Linked DNA regions of Elephas maximus indicus. The protein of the gene in region 2 interacts with the protein of the main gene of each other region in a pairwise test. Links are inferred from orthologs where the notes say so. Each region holds a gene or a part of one and is shown on either strand. Other genes may lie near its edges.

The links.
Region 1: the proteins of NFYA (region 2) and ZC3H10 interact in binary tests that used the Homo sapiens proteins (3 or more experiments, as listed by UniProt). The two-hybrid records come from large-scale screens. The link is inferred for Elephas maximus indicus from reciprocal best matches to the Homo sapiens genes NFYA and ZC3H10.
Region 3: the proteins of NFYA (region 2) and GTF2A1 interact in binary tests that used the Homo sapiens proteins (3 or more experiments, as listed by UniProt). The two-hybrid records come from large-scale screens. The link is inferred for Elephas maximus indicus from reciprocal best matches to the Homo sapiens genes NFYA and GTF2A1.
Region 4: the proteins of NFYA (region 2) and POGZ interact in binary tests that used the Homo sapiens proteins (3 or more experiments, as listed by UniProt). The two-hybrid records come from large-scale screens. The link is inferred for Elephas maximus indicus from reciprocal best matches to the Homo sapiens genes NFYA and POGZ.

Annotation. Positions count from the first base shown.
Region 1 is NC_064822.1:116,074,984-116,082,302, forward strand, and holds the start of ZC3H10 (zinc finger CCCH domain-containing protein 10), read left to right. Parts: upstream 1-4,301; 5' UTR 4,302-4,379; intron 4,380-5,149; 5' UTR 5,150-5,213; intron 5,214-6,612; 5' UTR 6,613-6,667; coding exon 6,668-7,319. UniProt on the Homo sapiens protein: Specific regulator of miRNA biogenesis. Binds, via the C3H1-type zinc finger domains, to the binding motif 5'-GCAGCGC-3' on microRNA pri-MIR143 and negatively regulates the processing to mature microRNA.
Region 2 is NC_064819.1:105,459,480-105,467,206, reverse strand, and holds the start of NFYA (nuclear transcription factor Y subunit alpha), read right to left. Parts: upstream 3,043-7,727; 5' UTR 2,902-3,042; intron 2,885-2,901; exon of another isoform or gene 2,538-2,884; intron 1-2,537. Other genes in the region: ADP-ribose glycohydrolase OARD1, read left to right, coding at 4,505-4,543, 4,901-5,045, 6,416-6,474, 7,546-7,658. UniProt on the Homo sapiens protein: Component of the sequence-specific heterotrimeric transcription factor (NF-Y) which specifically recognizes a 5'-CCAAT-3' box motif found in the promoters of its target genes.
Region 3 is NC_064828.1:94,359,207-94,366,784, forward strand, and holds the start of GTF2A1 (transcription initiation factor IIA subunit 1), read right to left. Parts: upstream 3,019-7,578; 5' UTR 2,573-3,018; coding exon 2,543-2,572; intron 1-2,542. UniProt on the Homo sapiens protein: TFIIA is a component of the transcription machinery of RNA polymerase II and plays an important role in transcriptional activation. TFIIA in a complex with TBP mediates transcriptional activity.
Region 4 is NC_064821.1:185,499,468-185,506,411, forward strand, and holds the start of POGZ (pogo transposable element with ZNF domain), read right to left. Parts: upstream 3,019-6,944; 5' UTR 1-3,018. UniProt on the Homo sapiens protein: Plays a role in mitotic cell cycle progression and is involved in kinetochore assembly and mitotic sister chromatid cohesion.

The DNA of each region.
Region 1 (7,319 bases), on a different chromosome or scaffold from region 2:
CAATGTCAGCATTTTCTCATCTGTTTTGGGGCTTTTTCCTCTCTTTCTCACTCCCCCAAAGTATTTTGTCCTCAAAATAGAGGAGCTATTCTTCAGATTGTTTTTATTCACATGTGGCAGATTCCTCTTACTGTCCAGGTTGTCTGGTCAGGCCTCTCCCATTTTCAGGAGCCGGAGCCTGCATTTACAAAGGGATTCTTGTCTATCAAGTGAATTCTCACTTGTAAATCTTTTTAGTCATTTTTGTTCTGCAGGTTTTTTTTTTTTTTTTTTTTTCATTTTCACAAAGCTGTAAAGAAGTAATCCATCTCAACCATGTCCTTTTCTTTGGAGTCAGTGGGATCTTCCCTTGTTTCATCTTACGCAAACAAGAGCTGGAAGCTCAGCTGAGGTTTTGTTTCTTGTCTGAGATATTTTGACTTCTCCCCTTTGAAAGAAAGACCAGGAACTGGAGGAGCAGACTGACTGAAGAAACAACTCCTGGCTTTCTGAAGCTGTGGACTTGGATTGGATGAATTGCTGGGGGTTTGGAGAGAAAGGTGATGAATTTCAGTACCTCTGGCATGCTGCCCCAGGAAACTAGGGCTCCCACTAATTTATGAGGTTTTTAAACACCTTGAGAATGAGATGGCGTTAAAATAAATTTGGATTTGGTCATATTGATGTGCATTTGTATGTTGCTCTTATTTAAACAGAGGTGGGGAGTACCGGTTGAGTAAGTGAACATCAGTTGGAACTGTTTTTCTACAGTGCCATAATCTACCTCCTAGTCAAAGAATATTTGGAGTTGGGGAAGACACAAATCCTGGATTCTCTGAATTACAGCATAGTAAATTACATATAGGAAATGGGAGTTTGATGGTGATTTAATTTTCTAAAGTAGCAATGTGCTACTTGCTGTTGACACTTTGGGACTAGGACACTATGTTGTGTATTGTAAAGAAGAAGAAAAAAAAAACACTATACAAGTATTAATTTAGGAACCCAGGAAGGATGCTTTAGTTTTTAATGTTCCGTAATCAGGCGTTGAAATTCATAGTCTTCAAGCCTTTTTATACTGCTCTCTGCTTCAGGGCCAGGTAGCTTGAGTGAATATTTGTTCATTAGATTTGAATACCTTACTACATGTGAGGCACTGGTGACTTGGAGGTATTACAATGAACAAGACTGGACACAGGTCCCCTCAGATCTTAACAGATTAGTAGGCAATTAACCGTGGAAATTTTGATGGACTTAATATATAAATTTCTTAAATATATATGTTTTCAAAACCTTGTCACACTCTGATGGTGACAATACTAGAACTACTTAAACACTTGTAACAAGGACTGTAAATTTTTAAAAACTCAATTTCCCCGAGTTAAAAAAGTGAAATGTTATTCTATAAATACGAAAGGGAAACCATCAAAAGGGAGGAGGAGGGATTATAGCACAAGATTTTACAGTATTTTAAACATTGAACAAGGTAAAATCTATGCTGAGTTCTTTTTCATCCTTCGTAATTCAAGTTTCCTGAAACCAAATCTCTGATGATTCTGACCTAACCACACCATGGTCCTGGCAAATTCTTAACACCAGATGTCATTCTTGCTCTGGAGAAACCAGTTGCCTTCAAGTCGATTGTGATTTATAGCGACCCCATAGGGTTTCCAAGAAGGGCCTGGTGGATTCGAATTGCCACCCCTTTTGTTTAACAGCCAACCTCTTAATCACTGCCCATGCCCAGTGCCATCGAGTCAGTTCTGACTCAGCGACCCTATAGGACAGAGTAGAACTGCCCCATAGAGTCTCCAAGGACTGCCTGGCAGATTCGAACTGCTGACCTTTTGGTTAGGAGCCTAGCACTTAACCACTACACCACCAGGGTTTCCTCTTAATCACTACGACTTGGCTAATCTGGCTTGTTCCCCTCTGTACGTTGGTTTTATCTTCATCCCTAGGTGGGGAATTACTTATTCTCAACAAATTCCTGGCAGTTTAGTTTGGGATGGCTAATGACATTCTGCCTCAGGCATTGTGGAAAAAGCTCCTAATAGCTGGCTATTTTATTCTCTAGGAGTTTTAGGAAGTTGATTTTTAATAGTGACTTTTCCCCACTCTCCATTTCCCATCCTTCAATGTTCTGGCATCTAGCACCTTCGGAAATAACGATATTGAACTTCCCTGCAGCAATTTAATTTAGAAAACAAGGCAAACCCGTAAAGCAAATGATGAATTTTGTACACACAGTAGGCACCAATACAGAATAAAATGGAGGGTTTTGCCAGGTAACTGCAACTCCCATAAGGCAATGAGAAAGGAGGCGGAGGTCACTCTCTTGTCCGCACCCCTTGATACCATACTGGGAGACGCTCACCTTATATAATGCAGTGTTGGCGTAATGAAAATTGTGGGGCAGGGGGGCTTGGTAATTTGAATTCCAGATACTCTTTAACGAGAGAACTAACGGCGTCTACAACGCTTCAGCTCAATAATTCGACCACCTGCTGTTTGAGAGATTGTTATTTCACTCAGGCAGCCCCGCCCCGGGGGGGCGGGAGGCGGAAGTGACGACACTGGATGCTCCATAAAATAGCTGTAGGCGGAACTCGGGCTCTCTCTCGGCCTTAGCGCCATCTTGTTAGGTAGGTGTTTCTACAGTGTGGAGTCCGCATAGAATCCATTAACATCTTGCGGCTGCACGTAACCATCATCTCAGCAAACTAACTGTAGCTTTTTTCTCTTTCCCCGTAGAAACCTCCGGACCATGAGAGCCAAGGTGAGCGATTCCTGAACAGTGAACTGAGTCGGTAGGGATTGGCGAGTGGGGTAAACTAGCGAAGTCCGCCATGGTACCCAAATCGCTGGGTTCTCGAAAAGTGCCCAGGAGCTCCTGGGATAAGGATAGTTTGGTGGGAAGCAGAGGAGTTGGGGAGAGATGGCAGGGGTAGAAGACTGCAGGTGAGATGCGGGTTTACATCGTGGGATCCAAACTGATGGCAGTTGCTGCGACCAAGCCCTCTTACTTAAGAACCTGACTGAAAGGGCTTTTGATACCCCTACCTAACCTGTTACTGAAACTACTGATTTCTTGTTTTATTCTCTGCCTCTGTTACGATCGGTTGCAGTGGAGGAAGAAGCGAATGCGCAGGTATGTTGAGGCGTTGTCAGTACTGGAAGCGGGACGGGAGCACGCCTTCGGTAAAACTTGGGGGGCGGGTGGCATTCGGTCTAGGAATGTAAAAAAATTGAATGCACTGACTTGCTAGAGCCAGGAAGTGAAAACTAAAATCGTATTGCTGTTTCGTTTTACCATTTCACGTGTTGTATGACCAAAAGGTCAGCAGTTAGAATCCACCAAGCGCCCTTTGGAAACTACGGGGAAGTTCTACGGTGTAGTAGAGGGTCGCTTTGAGTCGGAATCGACTCGACGCCGGCGGGTTTGGGTGGTTTTTTTCTTTGTTTTGTTTATGTACATAAGTGGGAGAGAAACTGACCATAGGTTTGGAGGCAGGAGTTAATGTATTCATTATCTACTTGCAGGCTGAAGCGCAAAAGAAGAAAGATGAGGCAGAGGTCCAAGTAAACGCTAGCGTGTGCACACACGGAAGCCACAGCAGCAGGAATATGGAATGTCGGAGGCCAGGGACGCTGGTACAAGTTGCTGACTGCATGCTACTGTCTGGAACTTATCTCAGTGGATCTAGAATTTCCATCGCCATTTGATCGCTGCGAACACCTTCGAGGGGCCCACCTTGCTTGTACTAAATCAGACCCTTTTGATATTTGCCCTGGACCTATGACAGTCTGGACTAGTTCTGTTCTCAGTTGTGGCTGAGTGTAACATGTGCACAATAAATCATCTCTTCTGCTGTTTTGGCTGAAGAACCAAATCTTCTTGTCTGTTATATGTGATTTTTTTTTTTTTACGGTTCTTTTGGGGATTATCACATTTTGTTTGCCGTGTCACTAGTGACCCGTGCTATGGAAGATGTGAAGAAACTCCATCAGCTACAGAGCCCTGTTCGTGGGTTGCAGCCCCGGGCCCCAAAGCCAATACTTAGAAGCCCTTTCGGCAAAGGGTGTAATACACGCCTGGGGATAGGTTACCGGGTTGTTTGGGAGTAATGGCGATTCCAATTTGCCGCCTCTTTTCGGGGCAACGGTATGTGGAGGAGATGCAGGGCTGTTTTGATCGGGTTGCCATGGTGACTCGCAGGGGTTGCTGGGAACTTCCTGTGGCTCGCGCAAATACTTAACACGCCATAGAGTATAATTCCGGGTCTGGTGGCTAGAGCGTCATTTCTTCCGCAGGAAGCGGAAGGATGATTGGGTGGGCGGCTCTTTGTCGAAGCTAGAGGACCGGCAGGCGGCAGCAGCAACTACGGCGGTGGCGGCAGGTGAGGGAGGCGGGAGAGTTAGGTGGAGGCCGCGCCCGGAGGGGAGGAGTCGGGCCGGCCCAGCGGTTGGTCTCGGGCGGTCCGCACATGGCCCCCCAGGAACGAGCTGTCTCTTTCTCACACCCCAAGGCCGAGCCTCTTTTCTGAGTGACCCCGCTTCGCGAGCAAACGCCAGCTCCGTGACGTCACAACCTTGCCCATCCCCTCAGCTTGATGTCACCTGGAGCCCCCCCCCCTCCATTTCGGGCTCCCGTAGTGTCCTATCCAGCTGGTCCACGGCTGAGCGCCGGCGGCGCTTCACGGAACCTGCCAAGCTGGAAGACTTGCTGTGGGGAAACTCGTAGAACTTTTTTTTTTTTGGGCAAACTCTGGGATGTTACCAAGCGTCATAATCACCATCCCCAAATCTAATCTGCCATCCACTGCACTGTCAGTCACTGCCCTTCTACAGCTCCGAATTCGGTGTTCCTAACCCCAACTCTAGGCTGGGGTTTGATCCCCACATTCTCCATCTTGAGGCCTGCAGGGCACATCCCTCATTCTTCGTTTTCCATCCCATCGTCCCAGCTTCTCCAAATTAGTTCTGTCGCTTATTCTTCTTGCTGGCGACATCTCCCTTTGACAGGTGAAGAAGTGCAGTTTGAACCCTAAGGAAATTTTGAAGTGTCCAGAGCTCTTGCCGTTTTGTCAGACTTATTCTTGTGACAAACCACCGTCCTCCACTCTTACCCCTTCTCCCACCCAAGTGTCTTTTTTTTTTTCCTGTTCAGAACCCAGCAGTGATGTGGAGGTGGAGACCCACAGGAGCTCCGGACTTCACCTGAGCTACCTCAGGTATTGAATAATCCTGGGAGAATTGGGTGGGAAGGAATGTCCTATCTGATTATCTGCTTCTGGTGAACTTGCTTCATGGGTCAGGCTTGGAAAGATGATAATTTATTCTTCACTTGGTGATTTCCTTTTCAGTAAAAGTTTTATCTTCTCTTTTACCACCCCTTTTCTTGATTGTTTCTTTTATTTTGGGGTTACTTCCTTTTGGAGGTAAAGAACTCGTCTTCTTTTATAGATTATTTAGTAATTCTGGCCTCTGGTCTGATCAGTTCATTTTAGGGGAATTTGAAGGTAAAGTCAAGGCAACTGGGGAGAGCGAAGGCCCAAAAAATCAGGAAAGCCTTATATACTCATGGGGAAACAATATGAAGTTTTCCTATTTGGACACCAGAGGGAGCCTGAACACTGCCTAGGAAAAGCTTAGGCGGTCAGACACGTGGTAGCAGAGTCTCACAGTCTTGGGGGTGGTAGGGTGGTGGTTGTGTTAGAACCGGGTCAGTGGACTGACATTCCTGAGCTCTCTAGAGAAAGAAGAGATTTAAAAAGCTTTTATAGAGTCTGTATATAAAGCAGGTCTTTATGGGGTGAGGAATGGTGTAGTTTGATGTCAGTGGGATCTTCCCATAGGGAGGGGGGCAGGAAGAGGGTGTAGAATGGGGAAAGAAAGGTCACTTGTTCCTGTGGAATTAATTCCTTCCTCCCACCTTGGCCGTTTCACAGGTGGATCTGTCCTGGGGCCTAGAAGTAGAGATTGTAGCTATAGCACTCCTTCCTTTAAAGGGGAGTGGAAGGAGGCTGTCTTCATGGGTTGAGAGTGTTGCTGGGTGAGGAGACAATACATAAGTTTAGGAACTGCCCTCAAACTGGTCATACCAGTCTTCACCCAGGATTTCTTGAGCTTTAGAGATCTGACACAGGGGCCATGGAAGAAGGGTTAAGGGATGTTGTTTTGTTACCAGTGCCCCGTCATCCCTAATAGCTCACCAGCCTATTTTGACCACTGTTCCCTGTCTCCTCACAGCTTATTTAGATACCCACAGTAGTTTTAATTTCACTTCTACAACTTTAATAAGGCCAGGTCAGAAGTGAGATAAAATTCAACACTATTCTCTCCCTTCCCCCTCCTCAGACCGCCTGTCAGCATTGAGATGAGGTGGCTTCATCCCAATTGCCTCCCTTCTCCGTTAGCCAGGCAAGTGTGAATCATTCTGACCAAGACTAGGTGCACAAGGGCCTGGGCAGGGACGTCTGACAAACAGCCAGTCCAAACAAGAATTCTCTTCCCTTAGATTCTCTATCTCCAAAGCAGTTTCCCCTCTGGCCTGCCTCATGCTGGGCTGCCCTGCAAGAGTGGTAGCCTTTCTAGAGGACTCCTGTTTGACACAGCTTTCCTTTTTCCTAGCTGTCACCAAGGGTGGCAAGAAAAGGAAGAAAGCCCTGAGTTGGGGGGAACCAGGATGCCTGACCGGGACAGCTATGCCAACGGCACAGGGAGCAGCAGTGGAGGCCCTGGAGGCGGTGGCAGCGAGGAAGCCAGTGGGGTGGGGGCAGGCAGTGTTGGGGCCAACTCAGATGCCATCTGCAGAGACTTCCTGAGGAATGTGTGCAAGCGAGGCAAACGTTGTCGCTATCGCCATCCAGACATGAGCGAGGTGTCCAACTTGGGGGTAAGCAAAAATGAGTTCATCTTCTGCCATGACTTCCAGAACAAGGAGTGTAGCCGCCCAAACTGCCGATTCATCCATGGCTCCAAAGAGGATGAGGATGGTTATAAGAAGACAGGAGAGCTTCCCCCTCGGCTGAGGCAGAAAGTGGCAGCTGGCCTGGGCCTTTCACCAGCTGACCTACCGAATGGCAAGGAAGAAGTCCCTATTTGCCGTGACTTCCTCAAGGGGGACTGCCAGAGAGGAGCTAAGTGCAAGTTCCGTCACCTGCAACGAGATTTTGAGTTTGATGCTCGGGGTGTAGGAGGAACTGGTGGTGGGGGCTCAACAGGCCCAGTCCTGCCAGGACGACGTCATGATCTCTATGATATCTATGACCTCCCTGATAGGGGCTTTGAGGACCATGAGCCAGTCCCCAAGCGTCGGCGAGGTGGATGCTGTCCTC
Region 2 (7,727 bases):
TGCCAGACACCGTCCTAAATGCTTTAGAGATTAAAAAGAAAATTTTGACCACGGTTTTAACTTCGAAGTGTCTTTAAGCTTAGCAAAGGAATAAAAACCTGAACTGGAACCATAAGAAGAAAGTTATGTGGGAGTTTGGAGAATGGAGATTTCTTCTAGCTGGAATAAATCAAAGAAAACTTTAGGAAAAGGTGTCACTTGAGCTGCGTAATATGTGAGGATTTAGGTATGTGATGATGCGGGAGGGGGTGGAATACTCCAAGTGAAGGGAGCAGCATAAACATAAGGACAGAAAAATTTCAGTACATGAACAGTAGACTAAAAGGCCCCATGTCGTGAGCAAACTAAAGACCAGACTTAAAAAAAAAAAAGAAAAAACAAATTCTGACTCATGACGTGTTATGAGTAGAACAGGGTTCCATAGAGTTTTCAAGACTGTGTGGGACCTTTCAGAAGCAGATCACCAGGAGTCTCTGGGTGGGTTCTAACTACCAACCTTTAGGTTGGCGCCACCTGGAGACAGAGGCCAGACTTGTCTCTCAAATACCAGGCTAACAAGTGGAGGTGGTGACCAGACCGCAATTGCCTTTTAAAAAGATGCCTACTGCTGGTTTTGAAGCGACCAGATGTAGCCATCTTTAAATACCAAGGTTAAAACATCTACTCTAAGAGCAAATATAAAAACATTTTGGGTCACACTGCACCATCTATTAATCTGGATAATGTTAAGGATTAAATGAATTTAGAAAATGATTAAAATAACACACAAAAAAAACTTCTGCTAAAAGGCAAAAACAAAAACCTTCCTTAAAGTTTTAGAAATGGAAAGAACATTGGATTAGGTGTCTTCCGAAACTTACCAGTTGCATGATCTTAGTAAACATCATTATAGAAAACAGGCACCACATAATGAAGACCTACTTTATGTGCCAGGGACTGCACTAGGTGCTTTACATTAGTGAAAAACTTCTTAAAAGTCCTCAGAGAAAAATCTCCTTTTCTTCCCCCAAATTCAGCCACTGTTGTAAGGTACACCTCACAAGTCAGAACCTTGTTTTTCAATTTTAGAAAAAAAAAAGAACCTTCTAGATCTCTTCTACCTGAACTTCCAGACAGGATAACTGCTTCCTAAAAAAGTCTTTAGCAAGATATACACGGCATTTTACCAATGGGCTTTTCAGCCCAAGCTCTCCTACTGCCCCATTCCATCTTCTGCCTCAAGCACATTATGCTTCTACATATACTTCTCTTTGCCAGCAATGCTCTTTCATTCTTTTCTGTCTGAAGAAATCTCATCGTCCTTCAATGCCAACTAAAAGTGTGGCAATTTGGGTTAGAAGCTGGCGAAATGGACTCGAAAAGAGTGGAGGGAGAGAGCCGGCTGCTGTCTCATTAGGGGGAGAGTAACCGTGAGTGTGTAGCAAGGTGTAATAGGTTTTCATGTGAGAGACTGACTTGACTTATAAGCTTCCACTTAAAGCACAATAAAAATTATTAAAAAAAAAAAAAGTGTGGCAGTGTTAAGTCTTAAACCAGAGTGTTTATAGCTCACACACAAGTACCTGCACAGGACTCTGAGCTTAGCCCCTGGATAGCACTAACCGTTAAGTCTCAGTAGTTCACCTTCAATCTCCACCACGCAGGAATGGTTCTCATTTACTCTTGCCCTCTCCCTCCCCATCATCACATGAATTGATGTCTGGCACATATGAACTACTCAATATTTGGCTGCCAACGGAGATTTCCTCTCACCCTAAAGAAAACGCCACAACACTATTAATTCTATAAACATTTGATAAGAAAAGGTTAAAACCGGCTTAGAAAACATACTAGAAAAAACAATTCAGGAAACGGCTATGGACTGAGTCAAGCCTGACACATTCAAAACAATCCAGAAAGCTTAAAGAATTAGTATATTCCCAAGGGTGGGAGACTTCACAAAATGAACGAAGGATAACACTAATAGGAAGAAAACTTATATGCAGCCTCGGGGAAAAAGAATGCTCAGGGCTATCCCTCTTCTAAGACTGAGGTTCCAGGCGCCGAATGGGCTGGCCTTACAACCGGGCAAGAAAGGGAGACGGCTCGGTTGGGCTCCCTGACGAAGAAGGTGTGCGGTTCTGCCCCGGTGAGCGGGGCGGGGAGAAGAGGAAATGACGAGCCAAAAGGGGGTGGTAACGGCGCGGGGCCGGGGACCCGGGGCGAGCGGGCTGGGAGGAGGGGCGCGGCTGGGCAGTGGGCGCGCTAACGGACCCCTCCTCGGATCAGGGAGGCGGCGCGGGCGGGCCGGCCCGCTCCCGCCTTCCTTGGGGCCCTGTGGCCAAGGCGCGTCTACTCCGGGTCTCCCTCCCGACCTAGGGGGCTGCAGACACACAGACCCGGCTCACAGAGGGCTGGGGGCGGGGGGAGGGCGGCAAAGGCTCCGCGGAGAGAGTTCCCGTCCCGAGGGCCGGACCGCCGAGAATGCAAAGACGGGTTTAAGTTGTGAGACCAGAACGACCAGGAGGAAACCGCCGAGGCCTGGGGCGCGTGTGTACCTGAGCGTAGGGGCATTCGTGGCAGGAAACCCTCGGCCTGGGACCTGAACACTTGGCCTAAGGGTCGGGGGAAAGGGAACGCATCCCCAACCGGCACTGGCACCCTGCAAAGGCCGGGACCTCGAGGTGCCCGCTCTCAGGGGCGCCATCCCCGCACGGGGCGGCCCCCTGCAGGCCTTGGCCGGGAGTGCCCGAGGCAGTCGCAGGCTCCGGGCCGGGGCCGCCGGCCGCCCGGCTCGGCTAGGCTCAGCTCGACTCCCGGGCTCGACGGGCGCCTGGGCCTCTCCTGAGTGGTCAGCGAGACCCGCCAATCGGGGCGCTGGGGCCGGCTCTGGGCCGCTGGATATTGGCTCCTCACACTCACCGTGCCTCGCTCCCCCGGTTCGCTGCCCGCGCTGATTGGCTCCAGTACCGGACCCCGAAACCCAATCAGAGGCTCCAGCCGCCGCTGCCGCCGCCACTGCCGCTGCCTCGCAAAATGGCGAACCCGAACAAAGGGGAATCGGGCCTCCCTCCAACCGTCTCCGCGCAGGCGCCTCTAAGGCCACGCCTTCTAACCCCAGTTCTTGGCTCGCCCCACCCCCAGTTGAAGGAGCACCGCGCAGGCGTCCCCGGAAGCCACGCCCACTTCCCTGATTTGACACCACCCCCGGCTGAAGGAATACGCAGGCGTCTTCATGATGCGTCGGACACCTCAACTCAAACACCGCCCTTAACATAGTATCACGCAGGCGCTAACTAGCGCATTTATTAGCTGCCCATCCCCTTCTTTGCGGCCACGGGAGACACACCCCTGGTGCTAACGCGCAAGCGTCGCTCTTCCCAACTCGCGGCCGGCTTTCTCGTTACGCATGCCCGGGCGGCGGCGGCCGACTCCACGGAATTTACCGCCGGAAGTTCGGCGGCCATTACCAAAGAGTGCCGTCTCGGCTAGCTAGCTAGAGAGGCTCTTTTCCGCTCCGCTACCGGGTGGTGGGCAGCCATCTTAGGTGCGTACAAATAGGGGTGTAACGGGATTGGCTCCGCATCTGGGCTTGTCCTCTGCTCCGCACCTACCAGGGCAGGATCCGGAGCCTTTCCTCGCGGGGCGGGGAGCTCTTAGCGGCTGACTCCTTTCCAGGTGAAGGGGACCCCGGTGATGTTGGGGCTTTGAGCCAACTTCCCCATTCCCGCAACGGGACCCCAGGATAGACCCTATACCCTCGCTGACCCGCCCTAGGGTAGCCAACAGAGAAGGGGAGGCTTATCTAGAGCCTTCTCGCCCCGCCCCCGGTAAAAGGGGGGTGAACCTTCCTTGAGAGGCCGCCTTTCCACTTCTCCTGCCTGCAACTCAGCATGTCCTGGCCCGTACACTTTCTTGTTGCGGTTTATTGAGACTGTTGCCAGGTCCTTCCCATTTTCTTCTAGGTCAGACCCACTGGGGAGGTACTTTAGCGTCATGCAAAGAAAAGGACTATCCTAAATCGGCCTTGCTCCGGAGCGGGTGTGGAGAAAGGAGGAGGTGTGTCTTAGGACCGCCTTTGCTTCCGCTGGTGCAGCGGTCCACTTCAGAAGCGTGAAATGAAAGTGGGCCAGGTATTTTTCCTATTCCTTGCCCCAGAAGAGTTTTGTCTTACTTCCTAGAGGTTGAGCGAACTCACCTTTAGTGGTAAATGTTGGAGAAAAAATTAAATGAGTGAGTGGTCAGGGCAGTCAACATCTTTCAGACTGCCTAAGCATAATTATCGCGGTCCTGGTGGCGCAGTGGTTAAGCATTTGGCTGCTAACCAAAAGGTTGACAGTTCTAATTCACCAGCTGCTTTTTGGAAACCTTATGAGGGCAGTTTTACTCCGTCCTATAGGGTCGCTATGAGTCAGAATCGACTCGACGGCAACGGGTTTGGCTTTGTTTTTGGTTTAAGCATATTTATTTCCTTTTCCCGTTTCATAGCTGAAGAAACACATTCTGGAAATAGCGACTTAGTATCATGGCTGGCAGTCCTAATGAAGATTCAGAAGGAAGCAGAGTGCGTAAAAACTATTAACTTATTGGTGAACTGAAATTCAGAATAATTGAGGTCAAAACATAAACACTTTTTAATTAAACCAATAATTGAATTGTCTTTTCTTTTTCTCTTTAGTTGATTTACTTCACAAAGGCTAATACAGTCCTAGTCAGGGACCATCTATCACTTTCCGTTTCCCAGGCTTTAATTCGTTGTCTTTAACTCCTCAAATTAGATTCTGAGAATTTGGTTTTGAAGTCAGATTACTGGGGTGGGGGGAAGGGTAGTGATGGAGGACCTGGAGTAAAGGAAAATGAAAGAAGCAGCTTAGTATTTTTTCCTATCTAATAAGACTTTTTTTTTTTTTACACATTTTAGATCACATACATAAAAGGAGACCTTTTTGCATGCCCTAAAACAGACTCTTTAGCGCACTGCATCAGTGAGGATTGTCGTATGGGCGCTGGGATAGCTGTCCTCTTCAAGAAGAAATTTGGAGGGGTGCAGGAACTGTTAAGTCAACGTGAGTTTTGAAAACAAAGTGTATATGTTCTGCTCTGGTTAGAACGTCTTTTGATCTGTTAAACTTTATTTAACAAGATACAAATGCAAAAACGGGGATCCTAATGGGGCGAAATATCCAATAAGGAAGGTAAGCACTGTGCTTACGTTCCTTACCGATAATCTGTAGTGAACAGTTTCACTACGGATGAGTAAGTAAGCCAATGCTTACCTTGCTTACTGGGTCACTCACCCCTGTCAGGAATCGTTAATTTAAAAAGAGTCTTTGATTCTGTAGGAAGGTGCCAGCCATGCCTAGAAGTAGAATCTTTGATGTGAAAAAAATGTGTAATTGTTCACTACAGATGATCTGGCAAGCGAGGTAAGCACTGTGCTTGCCTTGCTATTGGATAATTTGCCCCTGATACTAACCACTGAGTATGTTTAACTATTTAGATTAAGATTTTCCCCCACAAGAACGGCATCTAGTTTGGGCCCTTATCTCACCAAACGTGAACTTTGTAAAAGTTCTAATGGCTTCTTTTTCTAACATAAAACTTTAAATTTATCTTTATATACTTCTTTGATAGTATTTCTCCACTTCGCTGAAACCTTTAATAACTCTGAAGTGGTTAGCAAAGTCCATAGGAATTAGCTGAGCATTCAGGATCCTTTATTTACTGCTACTCTAATTATTCTTCAAAGAGGAGTTTAGAAATTCCTCTTCCTTAACTCCTTCTCCCCCATTACTTTTTACCAGTGATTTTAAGCCAGAAATGTACGTTAGAACTATATATGGAGCTTCTGAAACCATACTGACAGTTGCTCAGACCATGTTCCAGGCTTACTGAATCAGTCTCCAGCAATGATTCTGATTCTAGCCTTAGACAAAAGTGATGTCTTACTGGTTGGTGTTGTTTTTTATAAACATGATGCCTTTTCTGTATCAATAATTCCTTAGCAGTTAAAAAGCTTTTTATATATCTGTGTTCCCCATAACGCTTAGCATAGGTCTTTGTATGTAGAAAGTTAATTATTGAATGAAAACACATTTGGCAAGTAAAAAATGCACATATTTTAAAACATAACTTATGGGTAATAGACTTTAAAATTTTTTAAGAGGAGACTGAAGTATATTTGAGATTGGGGGCAGGACAAAAGATGGGGTGGGAGGAAAACGTGATTGCAAGAAAGCTGAAAGTTCAGACATATTATTTAGAAAGGCTGAAGTAGCAAAGTGTTCCTGGGAAACAGTAGGTTTCTTCAGACCTGAAGATTATTTCTGGTTCTGAGAGATAAACCTAGATCTGCAAAGATTAAAAAATCTAAGAATGGAGATTGGCGTTTTGGTTTTCTTTTTCCTTTCTGCTATTAAATAACTTTTCTTCTTAGAAAAGAAATCTGGAGAAGTGGCTGTTCTGAAGAGAGATGGGCGGTATATATATTACTTGGTAAGATGGGGCCAATTCTCAATACATGCTAAAGACTGGTGAACAGGTGGGTTACACTGCATTTGTGTTGGTCGTGATGCTGCACGCTAGAGAACGAAGGATGTCAAAAAGCTTCTGCTGTCCTGCCAGCTCAGATCCAGTGGCATTGGCTCTCTGGAGCACTGTGTTAGAGAGGGATGTGAGGCTGGGAAAGAGTACTGTGCCATCCACTGTATGCATGTGTTCTAGGCATGTGCAGAAGTTAGAGATGCCCCACTAATCTCTAAGCCAAACCGTGCTTTTAATTCTTTTTAATCATGGTGAGATAGGAACAATAATGTCTCAAGAGACAGTTTGGCCAAAGGGGTTTTTCTCGCATCCTGTATCAAAAACAATGCCAGGTAATACCTAGCTCTTCCTTGGCCTTCTGCCTGAATGTGGGATTCTTCAATTGTTCGAGGGGTCTGCAGTCCCAGAAAACCTGTAGCTTCCTTAGAGGTGGTGTTGGGTGACTTACAACCAGCCCACTACAAGCCTGATGAGGACGGCAAACTGAGTGGGGGAGATGTTCTGCCCTTTGAATGCTGTCTTCGAGGCTGATGTTGTGGGCTCTGGTAACTTCCAATCTTTTTAGCATGTTTGGGACACTATCGGTTTCTCCCTGTTCTTCTATAGAGAAATGAAAAGCAAACACAGTTTCTAATAAACGTTTTTTTAACAAGTAATTTTCAAATGGTATGGCTTCTTCCTTGTTACAAATATGCAGTTTATCTTTTGAAAGTAGCACAAAGACTGTCTACGTTGCTTAAAAACAGTAGACAGTAGGCATAGCCTGTTAATCTCATGAATTTCCTAGGAAAAGGAAAGATTCTTACACAGCAGCATCTGGGTTTCTTAGGCTCTGTTTAGAGGATTTTCCTGAGGGTTTCCCATAACAGTATGGAAGGGTCAGTATGACATTTGCCATCTCTGCTCTAGAGTAACTATGGAAATGAATTTATTGTAATTATCAGGATGTCGGGGGAATGTGATGGCTTTTCATGGGCTATCGTTTTGGACTAATGAAAGTTTGAATCCTTTTTTTGTAAGTAGATTACAAAGAAAAGGGCTTCGCACAAACCAACTTATGAAAACTTACAGAAGAGTTTAGAGGCCATGAAATCCCACTGTCTGGAGAATGGAGTCACCGACCTCTCCATGCCCAGGCAAGGAAATCCAGGGCCCTGAATTAAGATTGAACTGGTTGGGGGAGGGAGTGTCTCCTACTCAAAGAC
Region 3 (7,578 bases), on a different chromosome or scaffold from region 2:
GGGTTTTTTTTTTAACCAATAATGACCCCCTCGAGGCACTATAAAGGAAGCAGGTATTCTTAAATTTGTAGCATAAATCTCAAATTGACAATACAAATTATTTTGCCAGCAAATGAGATGTTTTGGTGTTCCTGAAGTCCGTTAACCCTAAAAATCTTTTGCTTAAAGATACAGACATTTACAGACAGAAATACGCTATCTTCTGGTACTCGCAATTTAATTAATCAATCTTGTCTTAAGGCTTTCCTTTTCTACATTAAATGAACCTATGACTTGAACACTTAAAATAGGAAGGGAAATATGTATTCTTCATGAAGTATATACACAAATAACAACTTAGGAAAATTGCTCGTGAGTTGAAAAGTCCTCAAAATATTGATGCTTTATTTTAAAGTACATGGGCGCACAGGCACTATGTGATATAAAACCAAAATCAAACCAAACCCATTGCCTTCGATTCAATTCCAACTCATAGAGACCCTGTGGAGCAATATCCAGGCCATTACTTAAAATTCTAAACTTTACTTGAGCCAAAGTGTTTCTTGCACTTAATGCAAGGCAATTTAGGAGATATTCCAAACTTAAAAACTGGTAAATTAGAGGGCAATTAGTGACACTACCAAGTGATTAATTAGAAGGTTCCTTTCAAAAGTCTTAGAAGGTTCCTTGGGCATACAAAATGATTCAAGTTATATACTTCTGACAAAAACATCCATATTATAGCAATTAAAAGAATTTTAAACCCAGAATGCACAGCAACATTGGAAAATAAACTGGATTAATTTTATACTGGATACCATGTTATCATCCAATGCAATACAGGGAATCTACTTAGATTTTTAATTTTAAAATCCAGTTTGCACTAAATCTCCTCATTCGTGACTCACAATTCCCCTACACATAAATTTACCGTGGAGAAAAAATCCTAAGGTAAAGCTTTAGCCACTTATCTATGACCTCTGAAAAGCTTTCTGTCTTCAGATATTAGCAGAAAACATATTGAAACAATAAAAAAATATGAAATATCAGGAGCTAGATTTCTAAGTTTCCTGAATACTTGATAAAATTATCCCTTCCCAAATCAAGTCCTCTGCAGCTGACACTTAATATAGACAGCATTTTTAAATTCCCGACAATAAGGTACACACCTTCCAGTACAAGAAATAGGATTAAACCCTGTTACTTAAAATTTCTCTTTAAAAAAAATAAATAAAAATAGAAGGGATAGTAATTCGGAATGTTTTCCCCTGGCAAACCAAAGAAAGCAAACCCTAGCTGCAGCATCAAAACATCTGAGGCTCTGAAAGCAGCCCCCCTGAGGGGCGAGATTACAGCGTTAAGAAAAGGACCCAGGAATAAATTGAGCTCTACACACGCCAGCCTCTCGCCTCGGGAGCACGAACCTCCCAGCCCTGCTCGCAGCAGCTCTCACTATTTAAAGCCGGATCTGGTGTTTAAATGGAGAGGCGGTGACGTAGGCCTGAAAAGCACCTTCCCATCCTGGCAGAGTCTATATTAGAGAGCGGCAATGGCTCTATATAAACAGGGCAGCCAAAGGGAGGAGGACCACAAGGCTCAGGGACTGAAAAGCAGGCTAAGCGGCCGCAGCCATGATGGATCGACCCGAGTCGCCAACGGTACGGTGTCGGGCGGCCGCGGGCTGGTCTGCGGCATTCGGGACCGGGCAAAGACGTGTTTTATTGGCACAATAAAAATAAGAGAGTCGGGGGGACTAGTGATCACATTGCGTTGGGGACTGAAAAGGTTTTTTATGTGACTGCTTTTTGCAAACCTACGTGATCGCAAGTAACCAAAAAATGGGCAAACGGGGGAGAAGGAGGCAAATTTTAAGGCGAAAGCAGGGGCACTTTGACCACTGTAGGCTTTTTTTTGTTTGTTTTGGTGCTTTTGCTAGTCGGAGATCCGATGGGGGTTTTGCTTCCCCTTCGCCATTTTACCGATTCGGAAGGAACCGAGATAAGTACTTTTCAACCTTCGTCCGTTTTCCTTAGACATAAAATGGCCCCAATGAAGGGTCCCAAAGCCTAAGCCAGGAAAACCCAGACTAGCCCCCGAAGTGGCATCAGCCTTCCACTGCATTCAAGTGGACCGCGGCGGGGCTTGGGGCTGGCCCAATTCCCCAGACACGGTTTTTGTTTTGAGGTGCTCGGGGAGCCCTCGTCGAGCTCGGACGGGCCCACTTCGGGGGAGGCGGCGGCTCCCCTCCTCCCTCCCGGCGCCGGGGTCTGGGGCCGGGCCGCGCGCTCGCCCCGGCCAACCGCCTCCGCGGCCCGGCCCGCCCCAGGCCCCGCCGCCGCCCCCTCCCGCCGCCGCCGCCGCCGCCGCCGCGCGAGCCCTCGGCGCCCCCCCGCGCCCGCGCCCGGCGCCCGGCCCGGTCCGCCCGAGGCGGGAAGCGGCGGCGGCCGCGCGGGCGGCTGAGGAGAGTCGAGGCCGGGTGTCGCCGCCGTCCCCGCCCCCGCCCGGTCCGGCCGTTGCTGCCGCCTGCATGAAGCCCCCGCCGGCCACCGAACCACGTCCTTACCACGGTGTTTGTGTTTGCCGAGTTCGCCATTTCCACACACAACACAAATAAGAGGGGGGTGAACCCCGAGAAAACAAGGTAAAAACAAAATCAAAAAAGAAAAAGCAAAACCAAAACACCCGGAGGTGACCCGAGCCACCGCACGACTGGGAAAAATTGTAAAATCGGATCCCGAAGGTGTAGAGAGGGGAGCGGAGAGAGGAGCGGGGGGGCACTCCTCCCGGGGCTAAAAACCTCGAGAACCGCCTTCCCCCAGAAAAAAAAAAAAAAAAAAAACCAAGACCCTCCGGGGGTCCGGGGGGCGTTGCCCGCTCCCCACCCCGCGCGAAGGAGGGAAACCACCACCGGTCGCCGCTCCCCGCGCCGCCGCTGCTGCCACCGGCTGCAGCTCCAGCCGTCCGGTCCGCCCGCTTCTCCCCTTTATATAGCGAGCCAACGCGCTGCGCGAGCCGCCGCCGCCGCCGCTCCGCCGAGAGACAGGGCGGAGGGGGAGGGAGGGACGGAAAGGGCGGGGGCAGAGGTGGGCGGGGCCGAGCGCGAGACACCGCGAGAGCCGCGTGCGCAGGCGCGCCGGGGCGGAGGCCGCCGCGGGCCGCGTCGTCACGCGCCGTGGAGAGTGCTGGGCGGGCGGAGCCCGGGGACAGGAGTAGTGAAGTGGGGCTGTGGCTTCTCCAAGTATCGCGTGATCACGTGGTTGGCACTCAGGCGGAAGTCTTCGGAAGCCCATTTGGGTTGAGAAACTTGCAAAACACTTGTGGGAAAGGCGCGAATTCTAGTAACACGGGTATCTAAAGCTGGCTTGTTCTGCCTCGTGGCAGACGTTTCCGCGCCGCCCCGTGCTGGAGGAGCTCCGAATGTGACAGGGGCGGTGGCAGCAGCCTACACAGGCATGGCCGCGGAGGAGGGCCGGTCACGTGTTCTGTACCGGCCCGTGTCGAGGTCCGACCTGGGGCAGTTTTAAGTGCGGAGTCATCTCTCCCGGCGTGAACTGAGATCACACTGCAAGCTGCGCCGTGTTAGCGCTTCTCACTGAGTGTGGACCTTCTCTCGGTTGTTTCTGAAGGGGCTGAAGGCTGATTTGGGCCTATGTTTTCGTGTTCCAGAAGCAGTAATCTGAAACCGCCGAGCCGTTTGTCACCGTATTGAGGCCGGTGACGGAGTTCCCAAAGCTTCGGCCATTATTAGTTGACGTACTTTAAATAACTTCTCACGCTCGTGGAAATGCCAAAAACGAAACGGAACACCATCACTGGAATAAGGAAGTACAATAACTTTTCCTGATTTTTTAAATATTGCGGCTCCATATGGCCAGCACGTAGTGACTAATCATATCTGAAATGCATGCCCTTGACCCACCAACTCTCGTGGCGTCTCGCTGTGAGAGCGAGCAGAAAATGCCCATGTCTTGGAGTGCAATTCAACAGGTTTTTCCCACATTTGCCCAAGCAAATTCTGCTTTTATATCAACATTTCACGCGGGACAGAGAATGTCCTGTTTAGAGAGCAGACCTCGCAGTACTTAATTTTCTTGTCTCTAGGTGTTTTGATGGAAACCCTGGTGGCGTAGTAGTTAAGAGCTACATTTGCTAACCAAACGGTCGGCAGTGGGAATCCACCAGGCGCTCCTTGGAAACGTTATGGGGCAGTTCTACTTTGTTCTTTAGGGTCGCTATGAGTCCGAATCCACTGGACGGCGGTGGGTTTGGGTTTTTTTTTTTCTTAAGGCATTTTGACAAACGTGTAATCTGAAGCAATGAGGGAGTTTATCCTCAAAGTGCAAACAAAAAAAATGCCAGAAGTTATATGCTGGTGCAACCAGGTTTAAATGACTACCAAAGGCACCCTACCAAGAGGGAGGAAAAAATGCAGCCTCCCCGGATCCGAAGGAAGGGATTAGAGAAAACTAAGGCCATTAAGACTCAGAAATGGGAGATTATGGAATGAGTTTGTGACTAGGCAAAAACCTTGAGATTTCTTCTAATACCATCTGATTACCCACTTTGCTCTTACCACTCCGTCGCTTCACAGTTGACTGCCCAGCTGCCTGATTTGGGACCTTAAAAATACACAGAAAACCATACTATTTTTGGAATATTGTATAAATTATGATCCCATCAACACTCATAATTCACTTAATGTTCAGGTGACAACCAGAAAGATTATACAAAACAATTTCCAGTAAGTTTCACTGCATATTATTTTAAGAGAACGTGTTACCTCCATATATGCACACCCCCAACTCTGCACGTGCCATCTCTCATCTTTCATCTTCTTTTCCTCCCTACGACTTGGTATTGTTAATGAACAAATGTTTTGCAATCGGTTTAGATTAAGACTACTTGCATACAGGAGATGGGGATAATCCACGAGATTTGCTCTCCACAGCAGTGCAAATGGTTAACGTGCTCGGCTGCTAATCTAAAGGTTGGCTGTTGGAGTCCTCGCAGAAATGCTTGGGAAGAAAGACTTGGTGATCTACATCGAAAAATCAACCATCGAAAATGCTAAGGAGTACGGTTCTACTCTGACACACGGGGGGTTGCCATGAGTTGGAGTCAGAGACAACTTGATCACAATTGGGGAGGATTGATCGGGGACACAGGTGACGTTAGTAGTTCCATGGTAGAATTCTTGTCTTCCATGTGGGAGACCCAGATTCAATTCCTGGCTGATGCACTTGATGACCAGCCACCACTCATCTGTGGTGGTTTGCGTGTTGCTAGGATGCTGAACAGATTTCAGCAGAGCTTCCTGAAAAAAGGCCTCGAGATCTACTTCTGAAGATCAGCCACTGAAAACCCTGTGGATCATAAATAACAGTCTTATCCACAACTGATCGTGGGGATGGCAGGGACCTGGCAGCATTTCGTTCCATTGTGCATGGGGTCGCTGTGAGTGAAAGGCTACTAACAACAGCAAAGAGACCTATCAGTCAGTCACAATGAGTGGACCTTATTTGGATCCTGCTTCAAATAAACTGTAAAAGAAAATGATGACAATTATGAAACTATTGGAAACTGAACAGCTCCTGGATATTTAGTGAAATTAAAGTTACTGATAAATTTTTAAGTTTGATAATAGTTCTACTTTAAAATACCCTCTCTTTCAAAAATGTGTACTGAAAAACAAAATAATGAGACTTGAATTTGCTTCAAAATAACACAAAAGCAGAGACATAGATGGAGTATTAATGAGGCAAGTTTGGCCATGAGTGTGTAATGGTTGAAGCTGAGGAAGAGTACTATCTGAGTTACCTGGTGCTGCCATAACAAAAACTTTAAAGAACAGAAATTTATTTTCTCACAGTTCAGGTGGCTACAAGTCCAAATTCAGAGTGTGGCTCTAGGGGCAGTCCTTCCTTGTCTTTCAGCTTCTAGTAGCTGCCAGAAGTCCTTGTGGCTGCATGTGTCTCCTCTGTTTTTCTCTTCTCCTTTTATGTGTCTTCATCCGCTCTGCTTTTTTTCCTAACTCAGAAATGAGTAAATTTAGAGCCCAACCTACTGGGTATGACCTAATTAGCATAACAAAAACCCTATTTCAAGGGCCCTGGGTGGCAGTTGTTAGGAGCTTGGTTGCCAAACGAAAGGTGGCTTGAACCTCCCAGCAGATGTGGCAGTTGGCTTCCGGTTTCCGTAAAGATTACAGCCTTGGAAACCCTGTGAGGCATTTCTACTCTGTCCTATGGGGTCGCTATGCATCAGAATGTACGCCAGGGCAAAACAGAACAGATTTTGGTTTTTTGTTGTTGTTTGCGTGGCACAACAAACAGTTAACACTTGGCTGCTAACCTAAAGGTTAGCAGGCGCTACAGAAGAAAAGCCTTGTGCTCTGTCAAAGGTTACAGTCAAGAGAACGCTATGGAGCAGTTCTAGTCTGTAACACATGGGGCCACTTGAGCTGAAATTGACACCAACGGGTTTGTTTGTTTTCAGTTTAGGGGCCTGGACTTCAATACATGTTTGGGGGAGACAATTCAACCCATAACGGGTACCCATAACCAAACCCATCAATTCCAACTCATAGCGACGCTGTAGGACAGAGCAGAACTTCCCCACAGGGTTTCCAGGGCTATAAATCTTTACAGAAGCAGACTGCCACATCTTTCTCCGGTAGGAGTGGCTGGTGGGTTCAAACCACTAAACTTTCAGCTGGCAGCCAAGCGTTTAAGCACTGTGCCACCAGAGCACCTATAACAGGTACATTGGGGTTTATTAGACTATTCAACCTGTTTTTACATACGTTTGAAATTCTGTATTTAAAAAAATGCTAAAGGGAGCCCAGTGACACATTATTTTACAATCAGTGATGGTTCTTTATTCACACAGCTTGTCATCAGTATTCCCAAGAAGGCCTGGTGTTGTGTTATAAATGTAATTAATATTAAACACTGTGTTTAATTACATGGGTTTCCTCTTTCTCTGATTCTTATATCTCAGCTATTTTTGCCTCATCTTGAATCACAAGTTAAACAACTGTGATTTGGGACAGTTAAAAATGGTTAAATTTACAGGATGCTTGTTCAGATAGTTTTATAAAAAATATTCTTCTAGTGGCCAAATGATCTTTGATTTATTTGCTGCCTTTATCTTCTCGCTTGTATGCCTTCAACTTGATAGAGGCTTCTGATATGACAGACAATTCTGCATAGACAACTTTCTAATAAAATACATCATAGCAGATAAATCTGTAGTTAATCAACTAATTATTACTGAAACTAAATAGGCTGGTTTGCATTCTTTTCCAGAACCTACCGTTCTCTGGTAGTATGGATTAATAAGTAGAGGTAACAGAGATTATAAAACAAAACGTGGCAGGAAGATTATTAGAGATTTCAGGCCAGAATGGAAGTACGGAATCTGCTTAAATACTGTGGGCTGGACTTTGCTTTCACAAGGGTAACTGTGAGAAAATCGGGTGTGATCCAAATACTTTCTTGAGAACCAAGACTCTGGGCTAATGTTTTTGGCTTGCTCTTCAAAAAAAAAAAAAAAAAAAAAAAGTGGCATAGCCAGAAGCAAAAAGAATGAACATTTAAA
Region 4 (6,944 bases), on a different chromosome or scaffold from region 2:
TTCTTAAATACGACACAGAAAGCACAATGACAAAAGAAAAAATAAACTGGGCTTCATCAAAATTAAAAACTTTTGGGCATCAAAGGAATTTATCAACAAAGAGACAACCTACAGAATGGGAGAAAATATTTGGAAACCATATATCCGATAATATACAAATAACTAGAACTCAACAACGAAAAGGCAAATCGAATTGAGAAATGGCAAGGTATTTGAATAGACATTTCACCAAAGAAGACATACAAATGGCCAACAAGCCCATAAAAAGATGCTCAACATTATTAATCATTGAAGAACAGCTGCCTTCAAGTCAATCCTGACTCATGGTGACACCATGTGTGTCAAAGTAGAACTGTGCTCCATACGGTTTCCCATGCATGATTTTTCAGAAGCAGATCACTAGACCTTTCTTGTGGGGCACCTCTATGGGGACATCGCCAACCTTTCCGTTTGCACCACCCAGGGACTCCCATTAGTCATTAACCCAATGCTGTCAAGTCGATTTTGACTCACAGCAATTCTATAGGACAGAGCAGAACTGCCACATAGGGATTCTGAAGCTATAATCTTCACGGAAGTAGACTGCCACATCTTCTTCCTGTGGAGTGGCTGGAGGGTAGACCTTTTGGTTAGCAGCCGAACGCTCCAACCGCTGCACCACCAGGGCTCCTTCCATTAGTCATTAGGGAAATGCAAATCAAAACTACAATGAGATACCACTTCATACCCACTAGGATGGCTATTATCAGAAAAACAGAAATATCCAGTGTGGTGAGGATGTGGAGAAACTGGAATCCTCATTCACTATTGGTGGGGCTGTAGAACGGTCCAGCCACTGTGGAAAACAGCATGAACGGTCTTAAAAAGTTACACATAGAATCTCCATACGATGCAGCAATTCCACACCTATATATACAGCCACGGAAACCCTGGTGGCATAGCGGTTAAGTGCTTTGGCTGCTAACCAAAGGGTTGGCAGTTCGAATCTGCCAGGCGCTCCCTGGAAACTCTGTGGGGCAGTTCTACTCTGTCCTATAGGGTCGCAATGAGTTGGAATCGACTCGATGGCACTGGGTGATTTCTGGGATATACAGCCAAAAGATTTGTAAAGCAGGGAATCAAAAACAGATACTTGTACACCAATGTTCACTGAAGCATTACTCACAATAGCCGAAAGGTGGCAACAACCCAAGTGTTCATCAACAGAGGGAATGAATAAATAAAATGTGGTATACACATACAATGGAATATTATTGGGCCATAAAGAAAAATGCAGTTCTGACACATGCTAAGACATGGATGAACCTTGAAAACATTATGCTGAGCAAAACAAGTCAGACACAAAAGGCCAAATATTGTATGATTTCACTTACATGAAATATCTAGAACAGGCAAATGCATAAAGACCAAAGTTTATCAGTCGTTACCAGGGGCAGGTGGGAGGAGAAAATGGGAGGTACTGCTTAAAGAATATTGAGTTTTCTGTTAACGGTGATGAAAAATGTGGAGAAAGTATTAATGGTTGCACAACGTGGTCAATGTAATCCATGTCACTGAATTGTACATGCAAAAATGGCTGAACTGAAGAACAAATGGTTGAATTGGCCAATGTTTTGTTACATGTATTTCACAACAGAAACTTTAAAAATTTTTTTAAATAAAAGCAACCAAATATTAGTTACGTGCTCTTTATTAAAAGAGCAACTAAAGCATCAGTAAATTCCCCATTTTATAGTCTCTCTCCCAAAAACATTGCCTATCATACAAAGTTTTTCTCTACTGACAGTTGTACGCTAAGTTCCATGTCTACTCGCTCAATTTAACTGTTAAGTCCTAGCAATAGGTTAATCTCTCTCCCTTCTCTCCTCCCCTTAGTTACATGTAAGATATATATTCTTGTGGATATGGCTTACCATCACAAACCAGAATATCAACGAATCTATCAAATCTTACGACAGACAGCTTGATAATATGACAGAGGCACCAAACTAGGGTTTTTAATTTTATATCAGGAATTTCTACCTTCAACGAAAATTAATTAAAAAGGGCAAATACGGAGAATAAAAATGGAAACACACTGTTGAAATTTATTTTACTGTTTGATATGCTAGGCACTGTAGAGCACTTCACACATTCCTCATCTCAGTAAATTCTCCTAACAACAGTATGCCTTAAGTGCTCTATTTTACAGATGAGATCAAAACTGAGGTTTAGCAGATTCAGTAACTTGCCCAAGACTGTAGTTAGCTACTGTCGAGTAAACTCAACTTATGGCAACCGCATGCACAACAGAACAAAATGCTGCCCGATCCTGTGCCATTCCCATGATCAGTTGTGGACTGGACTTGTTGTAATCCACAGGGTTTTCACTAGCTGATTTTCAGATGTAGACTGCCAGGCCTTTCTTCCTAGTTTGTCTTAGTCTGAAAGCTCCACTGAAACCTGTTCAGCATCACAGCAATACACAATCCTCCACTGACAGACGGGTGGTGGCTGAGCATGGGTGTACAGGCCAGAATCAAATCCGGGTCTCCTGCCCTAAGGAGAGACTCCTACCACCGAACCACTACTGCCCCCGCCCTCCCCACCACCCTGGGTTAGAATCCCAACCAGGATTCAAACCAAGTTTTCTCACCCTAGAGCCTACACTTTTCCCCAAGTCACTGCCTCTTCCAGTATTAACTCCAAGTAACATCTGTAAAATCTTCAGAAATTCCTAAATGGAGGCAGATTTGGGTGATCTAAAAAACAGAAACATAAAACAGGCCCAAAAGTTACCCCTTATATCGGCGATTCTAAAATGTTTTGGTGTCAGGACCACTCTACACTCTTAAAATTACTGAGGACCCCAGTGAGCTTTTATTTTTTGGGATTATATTTTCCAATATTTACCATACTAAAAAAAAAATTTTAATACCAATTCATTCAAAACGAATAAACCTATTACACGTTACCATAAAAAACATTTTCATTAAAAATTACTATTTTCAAAAAAAATTAGTAAGAAAAATAACATTGTTTTACACTTTCGCAGATCACCTCTGTTTATAGCTCAACAGAAGGCAGTTGGATTCTCGCATCTCCTTCCGCATTCAGTCTGCCGCCATATGTAGTCTTGGTTAAGTACAAAAAAATCTTGCCTCATACAAATTTGTAGTAGGAAAAAGCATTATTTTAATAATCTGTTCATATAGCTGTGGACATTCTTTAATAGGAAAACTCAACAAATGGTAGCTTAAGGTATACACTGCACCATCTGAAACCTTATCAATCAACCTTTCATACCGTTACATTAAAATCTACCAGTCCATCTTGCCGTTTTAAATGATCTTTTTTTTTTTTTAACCCACGTGCGATTTTATAGCATTATGCACTGGTCATCTGGGAAACAGACTGAGTTATGTTAATCTTGATCTTTCAAATGTTGGCATATTTCATTACACAATAGTTGAAAAAAAAAATCACAGTCCCTAATCACTGATACTACCATTAAATTCTTTTAAGCACTGGGAAGCTGTCAAAATTCAAGCTGTCAAGTTTTTTAAAATTCCACTTTTCACTGGAATTTTATCATTGGTTAGCAAATACTGTCAACTGTTTTTCTAAAGTGACATGCTGCTCACTTCATTCATTTTCCAGCAAATAATCAAGTCTGAAAAACTAGTTTGTCAATTGTCCTTTCAAATAAAAATGCTGTTCCATGAAACAAGCAGCTGGTTCAGCTCACAACTCAATCTCACAAGTGCTTTTCCTCTGCAATTGTTCGTTGGTAAGCAGCGTAAGTGCTTTATACGTACCTTCCGTTTCATGACAGATCCTTAAAAAGACTGCACTCAGGGGTTGAGAATTAATAAAATCAATAATGCTTACTGTTTCATAAAGAACATTCTCAAGTCCAGTAGAGTCTGGTGCCACTGCCTTGCTTTGTGCTACAGCATCACCAGTACTTTTACCCAACACTGTTTTTGGACCATCAGCGCAAATGTGAACGAAAAACATAAATAAATAAACTATTTTGAAAAGTTTTGACTTCCTGGCTTCCCTGAAATGGTCTGGGATCCCCAGGGGTGAGCAGACCACCTTTTGAAAACTGCTTTTCCTAGGTTATACACTGGTTCAAGGAAAAGGTTGAAACTCTTGCAAGTCCTGTTGATCTCAAGAATCACATTGTTAGTTTCTCAGTTTGGGATACACCACCAACATAGGTCAGGAAAGGGGAGGGAAGCCAAGGGCATAGATTGCCATTTCATTCTGTTTTAACTGTATTTTGAGCAACTTTATACTAGACCAATAATTCTCTATGTGGCAGGTACCTTAAGCAGAGTCATCTCAGGGGCTGCAGGTTAAAAAGGCAGGAAAAATGACACTCCGGCTCCATTCCACCCAAATAGTCTTTGGAAATGAAGCCCCCAAAATTGCATGTTTAGCAACCTCCCATTTACTTTTTATGCACCCTGAAGAACGGCTCTGCTTAAGCAGTTCGAATTCAGAATCCAATTTCCCAGTCCTAAGCCCATCGAATCACGAAATTGTCATTCACCAAGAAACTGCCCTTCTCGCCCCCACCGTTCCTCCTTCAACTACTTGGGAAAACTCCTTTAAAAGTAAAACCCCATTTCTGTGGGATTTTCAGATGCGGAGAGGAGTGTCTCAAAGAGTGTAGAGGGCCGGGCCTCGGTCTGCCACAAGAAAGCTGTTATGAAATACTACAACTGTATCTCAATTTCAATCTCAAAAAAGAGATTGGGCTAAACGATTTACAAAGCCCTTTTCAGCTCTACCTTTTTTGAGCTAAGAACGCCCGAGACAAGCAAGCAAAGAAACTTTTAGCTTCATTAGCGGTCTGAAGAAATCCCGCGACTGGCGGGAGAGGAAAATCAGGACAGCAAGCAAAAAAGATGGAAAGCAGGTGGATAACGACGCCAGCCCTTTTCAGTCGGTGCTAACAATCCAGAGAAAATAGTCCCTGAGTTAAACATGGCGCCCACGGCGGCAGGATATAATTATCAGAATATAACGATTCTCCGCCCCATCTCATTTTATAAATCACGGCGCCATCCCTAAAGACATTTTGAGTCCGAGGGAGGGGACTCTGTAAACTAACTGGAACGTACTAAGGGTTGGGATGTACTATTAGACAGGAGTAGTCATTGCATAACACACGGGTTCGTCTCAGCAATCGCTCTTTTTCCTCCTCTTTCTCTCCAAGTCCACCCCTCTCCTTCCTCAAGAGAGAGCAGGGGCGGGAAAGGACCAGGAACGAACGCCCACCCCCAAGGGGAACGCTACCCCGCTGCCCCTCCCGCCGCAGCGCCGCCCGCCCTCCTCCCCGGCGCGGCCTCGCCCCCTCGCCAACACCCAGCCGTCTCGCCGCCGCCCGCACCCCCGCCCCTTCCCCAGCGGGCCGCTGCACGCGCCCGCGCCCGCCCACTCCTCCGAGACGCCTCGCGCCCGCCGTGCGTGTGGACGTCGGGATGTGTGTGGAGCCGTGGGACGCGAGTGCGCGCGCGCGCCGGGGGGCGGGGGCGGCCGGCAGGCAGGCAGAAGCCTCCACCACCCGGCCGCTGCACCGCTCCGGGGGCGCACGCACACACAGACATACACGCGCGCGCGCGCCGCACCCCACGCCCGCCACTGCCGCGGGCCGCGCCGCCACTCGCGATGTGCGGGGGCGCGCGCCACCGGCCCCCCCGCCCCCACCCCCTCGCGTACCCGCCCCATCCCCCGCTCATTGTCTCGCCTCGGAACGCCTAACCAAGCGAAAAGATAACGGAACCCCCGGGAGAAAGGGGTGGGGAGAGAGAAGGCTCGCTCGCTCACTCACCTCCCGTGGTCGTCGCCGCCGGTACTCTGACCCGAGGAAGGCGCCGTCGCCTTAAAGGGACCTTGCACCCGACGCCGGGAGAAGGGGGTGGGAGCAGGGGAGGGGACGGGGCTTTGGGGGGAGACGAAGAAGAAGGAACCGTTGAAAACTCGTCTCCCCGCGGGTGTAAAGAAATCTCCCTCGGATTCAAATGAATTGAGGTGGATTTTTTTCCCAAGGGGGGGCGGGGGGCCCCGAGGGAGGGGGTGGGGGGGCCAAGGAATGCGGCTCCGTGTACGGGAGCTGGCGCGGGGGAGAGAAACGCAGACTCCCCCCACCGACCCTCTCGCCCCGCGGAGGGATACGTCTCGTCACTTCCGCCCGCCCCCTTTCGTGGTCTTTCAATTGGTTGGAGCTCCTGCCACGTCATGAGCTCATCCTATCCCATGCCCGGGCTTCTTTTCTAGTCAAGTTTGTCTGGGCCGGCAAATAAATACATAAAGAGGAAAAAAAAATTTTTTTTTTAATGAAAAAAGAATTGGCTTCAAAACCAATATCTAAATTTTTGTGGGAAAAATGGATTTTCCAAAGAAAATATTCCTCAATTAACTTGCCAAGACTTACCAGGGAAATTTGGGGTGTGTCCCCCACATCCCATTCAAGGCCTGTACCCAATCAAGAAGGAACTTTAGGCCAGATGGTGAGGCCCAGTGGCAGCAACAACTGTTATTGGAACACAGACATAGAAATGGCACTCGCTCTTCCTCAAGAGACATTCAGCCAAGTAGCTTTATGACAAATACTGAAGAACTTTTAAAAGCCATTTTTACCCTCAAACCCTCTGAGTTCTGGAGAGTCATGCATGAATGCTTATCCAGATGATTATTATTTTGAAAACTGCTCTGAAACCATTGTGAATAGACTCAGCAGGGATCCCCAATTCTAAGAGCCATAGATGCCACATACATGATTGTGTTCCAGTCAAGGATGAAATAACGTGGCCCCCAAAATTGGTTACGTCCATTCAAGACCATACACCTGTTAATTTTTCCAAAATAAAAACTAACTTCTTTTCCAAGTAGCCAACGAATTTGGTCCTTTATTGCCTCCCTAAAGGATGATAAAATTTTAATATTTTTCC